Linked DNA regions of Neodiprion lecontei. The protein of the gene in region 1 interacts with the protein of each later gene in a pairwise test. Links are inferred from orthologs where the notes say so. Each region holds a gene or a part of one and is shown on either strand. Other genes may lie near its edges. The genes, in order: ubiquitin-conjugating enzyme E2 variant 2 and nucleoside diphosphate kinase.

What was found.
Region 2: the proteins of ubiquitin-conjugating enzyme E2 variant 2 (region 1) and nucleoside diphosphate kinase interact in a two-hybrid assay, tested with the Caenorhabditis elegans proteins (2 studies listed by BioGRID). The link is inferred for Neodiprion lecontei from reciprocal best matches to the Caenorhabditis elegans genes uev-1 and ndk-1.

What each region holds. Positions count from the first base shown.
Region 1 is NC_060261.1:26,288,529-26,293,488, reverse strand, and holds the start of ubiquitin-conjugating enzyme E2 variant 2, read left to right. Parts: upstream 1-1,955; 5' UTR 1,956-2,185; coding exon 2,186-2,210; intron 2,211-4,960. UniProt on the Caenorhabditis elegans protein: Involved in protein ubiquitination, but has no ubiquitin ligase activity on its own. The uev-1-ubc-13 heterodimer catalyzes the synthesis of non-canonical poly-ubiquitin chains that are linked through Lys-63.
Region 2 is NC_060261.1:5,993,557-5,997,654, forward strand, and holds nucleoside diphosphate kinase, read left to right. Parts: upstream 1-1,766; 5' UTR 1,767-1,882; coding exon 1,883-2,011; intron 2,012-2,886; coding exon 2,887-2,988; intron 2,989-3,116; coding exon 3,117-3,356; 3' UTR 3,357-3,507; downstream 3,508-4,098.

The DNA.
Region 1 (4,960 bases):
GCAGTACGATACAATAAACAGTAAAACACAGGAAAATTAAGAGAAAAAATAAATAGCAATGGCAAAAGATGGTAGAAATTACGGAAGCGATTCCAGCATGAAATTATAAGAAATTCAGATGATAGAGATATTTATTCGGTAGCTACGAGGTCGCTCAACAATAATATTTAACGGAATTAATTAATCAAAGAAATCACGCAGTCACGCGACGGTCTACAGCAACTCAGAGACGCGGACCATGATTCACAGAGAAACTGGCAAAACACGATGCAACCAAAATAGAGAATTAAGATATAAGAAAACAAGATACGAGCAACTTCGTAACGAAACAATACAACGGGAGAACCCTTACCTTAGCCGGTGACTCGGGCACGCATGCACTGATTTAAATTTAAATAAAATTTATCGATAGTAAGAAAAAAAAGGTAATAGAAAAGGAAAGGAGCTAAACGGTCATATAAAACGATAGAGAAACGGTAGCGATAGCAGTAAAGAAGAAGGAAAGGAAAATGAAGTGAAGGCAATTTCTACACGTAACGAGCGAGATAGAAAGAGTTATCTCAATCTCATGAGCGTAGAATAGATGGAGGTCGGGGTTTGGCTCGCCGTTCTCGCTGATGTCGTCAGGTAATCCTGCTTCCTGTAATTGGTCGTTTATTCCCCACTATAATTGGGTCATTCCTCCTGTGGCGAATATCAGTTGTAATTGTGTTACGCATCTTCAAAAATTACCGATAGATGACACGTAATGTTCCGCTCATGATTTCGTCGTTGATACCAGCTCTCACAAAATTTTCAGTTGCCGGCACCTTACCTTCCTAGTTGCCTATCGTTGGGGACCCTATGGCAAAAGCATGTGTGGAGCAAGGAGGATACCTCCCGGTCAAAGTTGCCGAATGGGGAGCAACAACTTGCAGTAACTCTCAACTTGGAGTGGTGGATTATGGCTCCATACTCCGTGATACAGTCACTATCGACAGGTACGCGGAATCGGTCCTCGGAGCGATGGCTCAACGCTGGAGCAGCGATCTTATATGTCGGTCCGGCGCCTGGCCGGGAAGTCCGGGAATGGCAGGCTGCGATCTGCCCTTTACGCTATTCTATACTCTTTAGGTATTCGCTTCGACCGGATTCGTCGTATAGGCAGTGGCGTTCTGTCCACGATATATCGGGCAGACCATGCGTCGTCACACGATGTCTGAATGCACTTAGGAGTGGTGCATTATGACTCACAAGGATTATGGTTCCTACATATAGGTTTGTAGCATCGGTTCCGAAGATTCTCGCAATGGCGGTAACCTGGAACAGTAATATTTATACTAAAAAGAGTACAATTTCGAAAATTTTCAGGTGAGTTGAAAAATTAACGACGGAGTCAGGAATCGAACTTGGTATCTAGAGATGCTTTACCGGAGACTTACTCCATTAGACCACCTAGCTGCCCTGACTACAATGTCATTAATTTCTCTCATCACCTATATTCGAGATTATTTTATTTTCGTGTGCTTTAGTCTCGACCGAGTGTAAAAAGTGTACACAAAGGCCGTGTTCGTAAATTGACTGACAGTACTGAAAATTCCCTAGGACAGAGTCAGAGCTATCCACGAACTTGGAAGCGCGAGAGAGATGAAAGATTGCTGACAGCAATGTCAGTCAATTTTCGAACACGACCAAAGTGTAACAAAAGTCTAGTGACATTTGTAAAACAAACAGCGCCATCCGACGTCACGTCCGCTAAAACAAACGCGCAAGTGTACACTCCCCACGAAAGTGTAGAAAGTGTAGCTAGCACGAACAAACCTAGTATCTAGTATCTGGAAATCATCGTGGAATGCTGTCAACGTCACAGGTGAGTGAAGTAATGCCATCTACAGTTCTGTAGCATCACCAATACATATGGACAAAATGTCGGCCCAGATAATGATTGTAAGCTCGCCTATCTCCACTTGCCACATAACCAACGTAATTAGACAACCTCCCGGAGGTTGCCCGAAGTTTTGCGACGTGAGTTTACTTTGAAATTGAGAGCTTGATTTTTGTCAGCCTCCGGTATAGGTAATGGAAGGTTTTGTCGTGAGATTATCGTAAGAAAAGCAATACTCAATATTACGTGGTTATATCGCTAAAATATTGCTGTACACCGTAGTAAAACCAACATTTATCAAGCCGCACAAATTTTGAGATCATGGCGGTACCCACGGCCGGTGTTGGTCAGTATTAATCGTGGTATTAACCACACGTATTTTCGTGATTCATTATTCATACTTGTACATTTTCAATGATCTCCCTGACCATTCTAGAGTCTCACGAACTATCCAATAATCATATTCCCACCTGAAACCAATTACTAATTCCACAATAATGAGTACTAGTCACCTGACAGATCACGTTTTTTCCCTGTCCCCTAATTGCATATCGTTCCTTAGTTCGTAAGTAACCATAGTCGAATGAAGAATATACATAATTTTGCATTTGCGTCTATTTGACGACCCCCTTTCTCATACTTTACCAGTTCAACCCGTCAAATTGTTTAGATCTGTCTTCTCTATGTGTCGTCGTAGTTGACGTATATCTCCGATGTCAAGAATCCACATCGTTGGTATCCACCAAAATGCATCAAACATCTTCCGCTCCATTACACATGTTTTCATTATTTTGTGGTCTTGTATCGTAAACTGCAAGCATTAGTGTTGTAACGTTACCTTTTAGTTGTTCCATATTTGGAAATAACCAAATGTCTTATTTCCTTGATCTTAATCACCGATTCTCCTTATACTTTTCTGATATGCTTTTTAATTTCAGACAAATGTTAGGTATTATCTGATATTTAAAATATGTTATTAACGACGTGCCTAACATTTTCATGTATTTTTGAGCTATAGAAAACGTAGTGGCACACAGTGGCCTTCCGTCCAGTTTTATTTTTTATGGATATGTTTGTTTTTGTATGAAACTAGATCAGAGTATAGGAAATGGCATGACCTAGTTCCCAGTATGCTTGACTAATTAAATTTTAATTGCATTACAATTTTGCACAATTATTTATCTAGCAACTAAGCTACAAATGCTACAATCTGTACCCACGTCATTTACCATCGACGATATCGTTTTCATTTATACAACATTGTCAATTCAACTGGTGGAGAATAATGTATAAAAATTTCTATATAATAAAAGTTGTCTAACTTTTAAATTATTCTAAGTTTCGTTTGTTTTAATTGTAATATAAGGCGGTAATTTGTACAGAGTTGTAAATGAAAAGCTCAATTGATCATGTAGAAACTAAAATAGTACAAACCATTAGAGCCTGTATATAACTGATTATCTTTCAGGATTAATTACTTGCAAATGACGCTATCAAATTCAGTAAAATTTATATATAGAACTAAATGTATCTTACTTAAACTTCTTCCAAAATTTTTAAGTCATTGTCTTATAAACGACTAAACATCCAATGATCTTGCAGACGCATTTCTTGTATCATCTACTTAAAAATCAATACAAATAAAAATCTCAAATGTTTTAAATGGTGCAATTGAAGTTAATCAATGTGAGTGTAATAAACACAATCGCCCCTAAGGGGCCTGAAGTTTCGAGGATTTATTAAAACAAATATACAACCAACTTTTCGACACCAACTTGCTTGACCAACTTTTAGAAAAATTATATCACATATTTTTCTATGTGTACTAATTTTGGAAAAAATTGTCTTACTAACTGAAGAAGTTTTGTAAAACAATTACCCTTGTATAAGCCCAGTATTATATACGTTATGAAAATGGTCAGAAATTGAGAAAATTTCATTTCGACACAAAAGAGTTTGAAAACTGGAAATTTAAATTACACCGAAAAAATCGATCAATCACGATCATCAACAGTTTCAGAAAGATAAAGTTTGAAGTTTAAAGTCAGAAGCTTAGAATTTTGTAAGACAACTTTAGAGTTGCTCGGTAACTAGAGCCAGTAATTTATCTTTAATGAACCATAGAGAATTCATTTTTTCATGAACAAAATGAACTATGTATGTATCATTTGAGATAAATAAATTTTACCATATGTTTTCTCCCTTATGTTGCAGCACAGCGAGTTATCTATAGTTAACCTTGTAACATGTCTTGCCGGATTATTAAGTAACTAAAACATCCGACAGCGTTGGTTAATAAGGTAAACAATAGGTATCTCGTTACTCTGCAACGTAAGCAACACAATGCTGAGTACGCTTTTGGTGGTGAAAAAACTATGGAGTTAGCAATTAGGTTATTCTAACTGACATTTGCTACATATTTCTATGTGAAAAATACGATTTCACTGAAATTCACCTCGATTAACTTTACTTGCATGTTTTTTACATGTTAAAAAAATAGCTATATTGTAACTTGAGAATTTCAAAAATACGATGTACAATGTGCTCTGACAATAGTGCCGCTTCCCCTATTTTGAGCTCGAGTGCTTCCCTCACTCATGGCCAAGCTCTTCGACTTTTACAAAAGTACCCTATGCTAAGTGCTTTGTGACAGTATTGAAAGAGAGTGATTGAAATGTTTTTGTCACTGCTTCACATCGAGAGTGAGGGTACTGCTTTTTTTCGCAAATTTATTCCCTATCACCGGTATTATTGAAACAGCAAGCTGTACTTGTTTCACAACTGCAGTGACTACATTTTTCTATAACTGAAAGTTAATGATTCACATTTGACCCTAGTCTTGTTATGTTGACTTAACACCAATTTCAACCCGATCTCGTTGTTCATAATTTTAGCTTCCAACTGTTTTTCTAATAAAACGATATACAACTTTGCGTAGTGTTACTGGAAATTCTTAAATATTCCCATGAAGATTTGTGAATATGTAGTGATGCTAAGATTTATTAATCCTCAGTTACATAAACACCAATAAGAGGATGTAAATATCTTACTGTGTAATGATTTACTGTAAATGTGAATTTGTCAGCCTCAACGAGC
Region 2 (4,098 bases), about 20 Mb from region 1:
GAAGATGCGATTTATTCCCGCGGAGTTGCAAATACAAAATGATTTCCAAATGTGAGAACATGGTATGACAAATGGAAACGAGACAGATGGGTACATGTTGGATATTCTACGGGACGGGTACAGCTCACGGCTGACTGCGTGATCGGCTTACGAAAAACTGAACCAGTCGATTACTCCTCGCGTTGCGGCAACCACGTGGTGGGAATGTAAGGAGTAAAATAAAGAACAGGAAAAACGATTGATGAAAGGCTAGGTGCAGAGTCTTTTCTCCCTCATACGAAATCTATAAAACTGCGCAGGTTTAGTTCGTGCAAATAATTACACACCGAAGTAACAGCAAAATTATAACAAGGAGTAAGAGGAGGCCATTTTGGATTCGATATAATCATAACTCGTCTACTTGTATATCTATATATATTTAGTAAACTGGTGGAAAACTTTTACCTATCCCAAAATAGCCGAGGAATTATATCGTCAGAGTCACGTGGGCTCGAGTAATAGACAGGAATTCTTAAATTATCCCTACATTCGGGTAAATTGGTAAATCGAAAGAACACCTCGGAGCCATTTTGACCCAACAATATGCCCCGAAAAAATTTCCGTGATTGTCTTTTGTTGTCATGTCTTCCCTATTTGTTTTTCGTTTTAGGTACGGAATTTAGACACTGAGTTTTCTGACCCAACATCGAAGGGAATTTGGAGCACCGAGGCAGCGGAACCTGCATCGAAAAAAAGAGTAGTTCGACTCACCGACTGTTGACAACTGCTGAATTTCATTCATTTTAAGTATGACATTTGTTCCGGCAATTTGCTGGTGTCCTTGCTGTTGCTGCTGGGCTTGCATCGAAACTCGTGACGGTGAAAATTTCCTCTATCCCGTAAATCGCGGGAAAAAATACAATCCAGGTCCGTCGTTTAGCCTTGATGCTGATACTTCGTGGGCTGAATCTTCGTCCGCAAGGTCGCGTCACGATTAAACTTTATCCACAGACGTACTCGACGTACGCAGCAACTTCGCTAACAGGCCAATTGATAAAAGAAAACAATATCTATCGCGATATATGACTTCATCGGCCAGAACAAGAACGCGATCGTTGTACGGCGGCCATTTTGAATTCGGTCGAGACACCGGGTTAAAAATTTTTTAAAACTATCACTTTCACGGATTCTCGTTCGTGTCCGAGCTCGTTAATTACTAATTTTCACTTTAAGCTACTCAGAGTCAACAGAAGCAAGTCTGTAATCGTTTTAAACCTGATTATAAGCACTGCAGTACGCCTGGGTTTGAGACTTTAGTGACGAGCTAACGACACGTGACGTCAGTATCGACAAGCATGGAGTCAGGTCAACTTCCGGCGGTGAATAGAAGGCTCGTATCTAACAGCTCGGGGGCCCGTGGCTTAGTTATCTTCCGACAATTATTAGGTTTGCAAAATGTTTTGAAATCCAGTTTGTGGGCGTGGTCTAGCAATGACATGCAAGAACGATATGATGGCTCGATGTTTCGGGTGAATTATTTAAGAATATGAGAAGACTTCGTGCAGGGTGTTGGACTTCTATTCTGTTACATCGATTGGTGACTCGGAAAACAAAACACTAACGACTGATTAGATTGCTTTAGAATTTACGTCGAATAGAAATTTAATTTCGTAGCGATTTCGCTCGAGGCGTATTGAGGGCATTTTCACCATCCTGATGGTGAAAACGATTCACGTGCCTTGGACTGTACGCCCCTGATTGAAAACAGCGAATCCTCCCGGCTTCGAGACGGCAACAGCAGTCATCCCGTTCTCACTCTCCTGTGGCTCGCCGGCGAAGTTTTGTCTCACCTCTTGTGCCCGTTGCCTTGCCAATTTCCTCTGCTAAATAACCGACAATAACAATGGGCGATAACAAAGAGCAAACCTTCATCATGATCAAGCCCGACGGCGTGCAGCGCGGGCTTGTAGGAAAGATAATCCAACGGTTTGAGCAAAAAGGCTTCAAGCTCGTCGCCCTCAAGATGGTCTGGGTAAGTCTCGGAACTGTATGATCTCTGGCATCGCGGCCATCATTGTCAGGCAACACGTGGTCAAGGTGTCTCTGTATCGACTGGAGATATTTGCCCTTAACTGCCTCGTTATTTCGTAACCAAATTACGGTATTTGTGTTGCATATGAGCCAACTTTATGCGGCGACAATGTCCCTTCGACTATGTCGATAATTGGTTGAAAAAAACGCATCGCCTGACGCGGAAGGGGCATTTTTCAAGTAGAGCATTTTTGTTCGATCTCGATACTTACGTGGCCATCTAGTCCAATTTGTCGCTGTTCGTTCAGATCATAGTTCTAACAATAAACCTCTGATCTAATCAAATGGAATCGGATTATCCAGGGCAATCGATACAGCTGCACATAGGTATACACACTGGATGGAATAATCTCGACCTTCGATACGCAACCAAGGTTAATTAGTAGTAGAGTCATTTTATTGTGTTTTCAATCCAGATTAAGGATGAAATACCTAGGAAAATTTAGTGGGGGAAATTATTTTGGATTGTGAGAAAATTTAAGAACTTTCAGTAAGATAATTCACCTCGATATCTGACGCTTCTTTCAGTCACAGTATCTATTCCTGAAACTTTCACATTTGTTCAGTTTGTCGAAAAGTTTCTCAATTTTTATCTAAAAACTTGCAGTAATAAATGACCCGTCGTTAACCGATCAGCGCATAATCAATTTATTTATCAAGATCTCGTTCTAGAATCAATGAAACCGCCAGTTGATCGAAATTCTATTGCCTCTTGTATGATTTTCTAATTCGTAGGCCTGATACTTCTTGGGTTGTTCAATCTCATCGTCGTAATTTATTTTCTTATTAACCGTGATCATTGTATTTATTTTCCAGCCTTCGGAGGACCTTCTCAAGCAGCACTACGCTGACTTGGCTGCAAGACCCTTCTTCCCAGGTCTTGTCAAGTACATGAGTTCCGGTCCAGTCGTACCAATGGTAATTATAAAAAAAGTTGTAAAATCCATTCACCAGTTACTCAACTTAGAAACGTTAAAAACAGAAAGATTTTTTCTGTGCGTTGAAATTTGAGCCAGTTCCTGACCATGTATCTTTCTTTCAATTAGGTTTGGGAGGGTCTGAATGCGGTCAAAACTGGTCGCGTTATGCTGGGTGAAACTAACCCAAAGGATTCAGCACCAGGAACAATCCGTGGTGATTTCTGCATCCAGGTAGGACGCAACATAATCCATGGATCCGACTCAGTTGAATCTGCCAACAAGGAGATCAAACTGTGGTTCGGAGAGAAGGAAAAGAAAGACGTTGTCGACTGGTCTTCTTGGGCTGAGAAATGGATCTACGAATAGATTACCGTCCAATAAAACAGTAACATTCTCACACCTCCCAGTTTCCTACTTCAGTTCACAGTATACCCATTGCTGGAGATACGTGGGTGCGACTATAACTGTACATACAAGAACAACCCAAAAAGTCCAAAAATAAAAACGTTAAACAAAAGGGGAAGAATCTACCTCACCTGTACCAGTTTTCCAAACTGAAAATCTACATTTGCTTCCTCTTCCTCACCGCTTTTTCAATAGAATGAAAACAGTGCCGAATCACTTGTTTCGTCAACAGGTATGAAGATTTGGTTGCAGTTGGAATAATTTAATTAGAAAGATTTCATTCGATTTAATTGAAATTCATTATTATTCTGACAAAGTTGAAGTGTGTAAAGTCTAGTTTCCAGTTCACCCGACTATTCTTAATTTGTATTTGGCACTTTGACCAAAAAAAAGATGTGTTGGAAATTTATTAGAACGTCGTTATTTTATTATACATAATATTTTCAACACTTGATAGCCTGGTATTCCTATTGTAATTTATATCGAAGATATAATATGTAGTGTTTGTCTGGGGCTTCTTTTATGCTACGGCTGAGTACATACATACTTTAATAAACGATGAGCTGAGCAAGTGTGTGTATATATGTAATAAGAAAAAAAAAACAAAAAAAAAAAAAATGCAAGCACGCCTTGATAAATGTAACAACAATCACATCGAGGAATGATTATATTTTACTATTACTTCATTATCATTCAATATCAA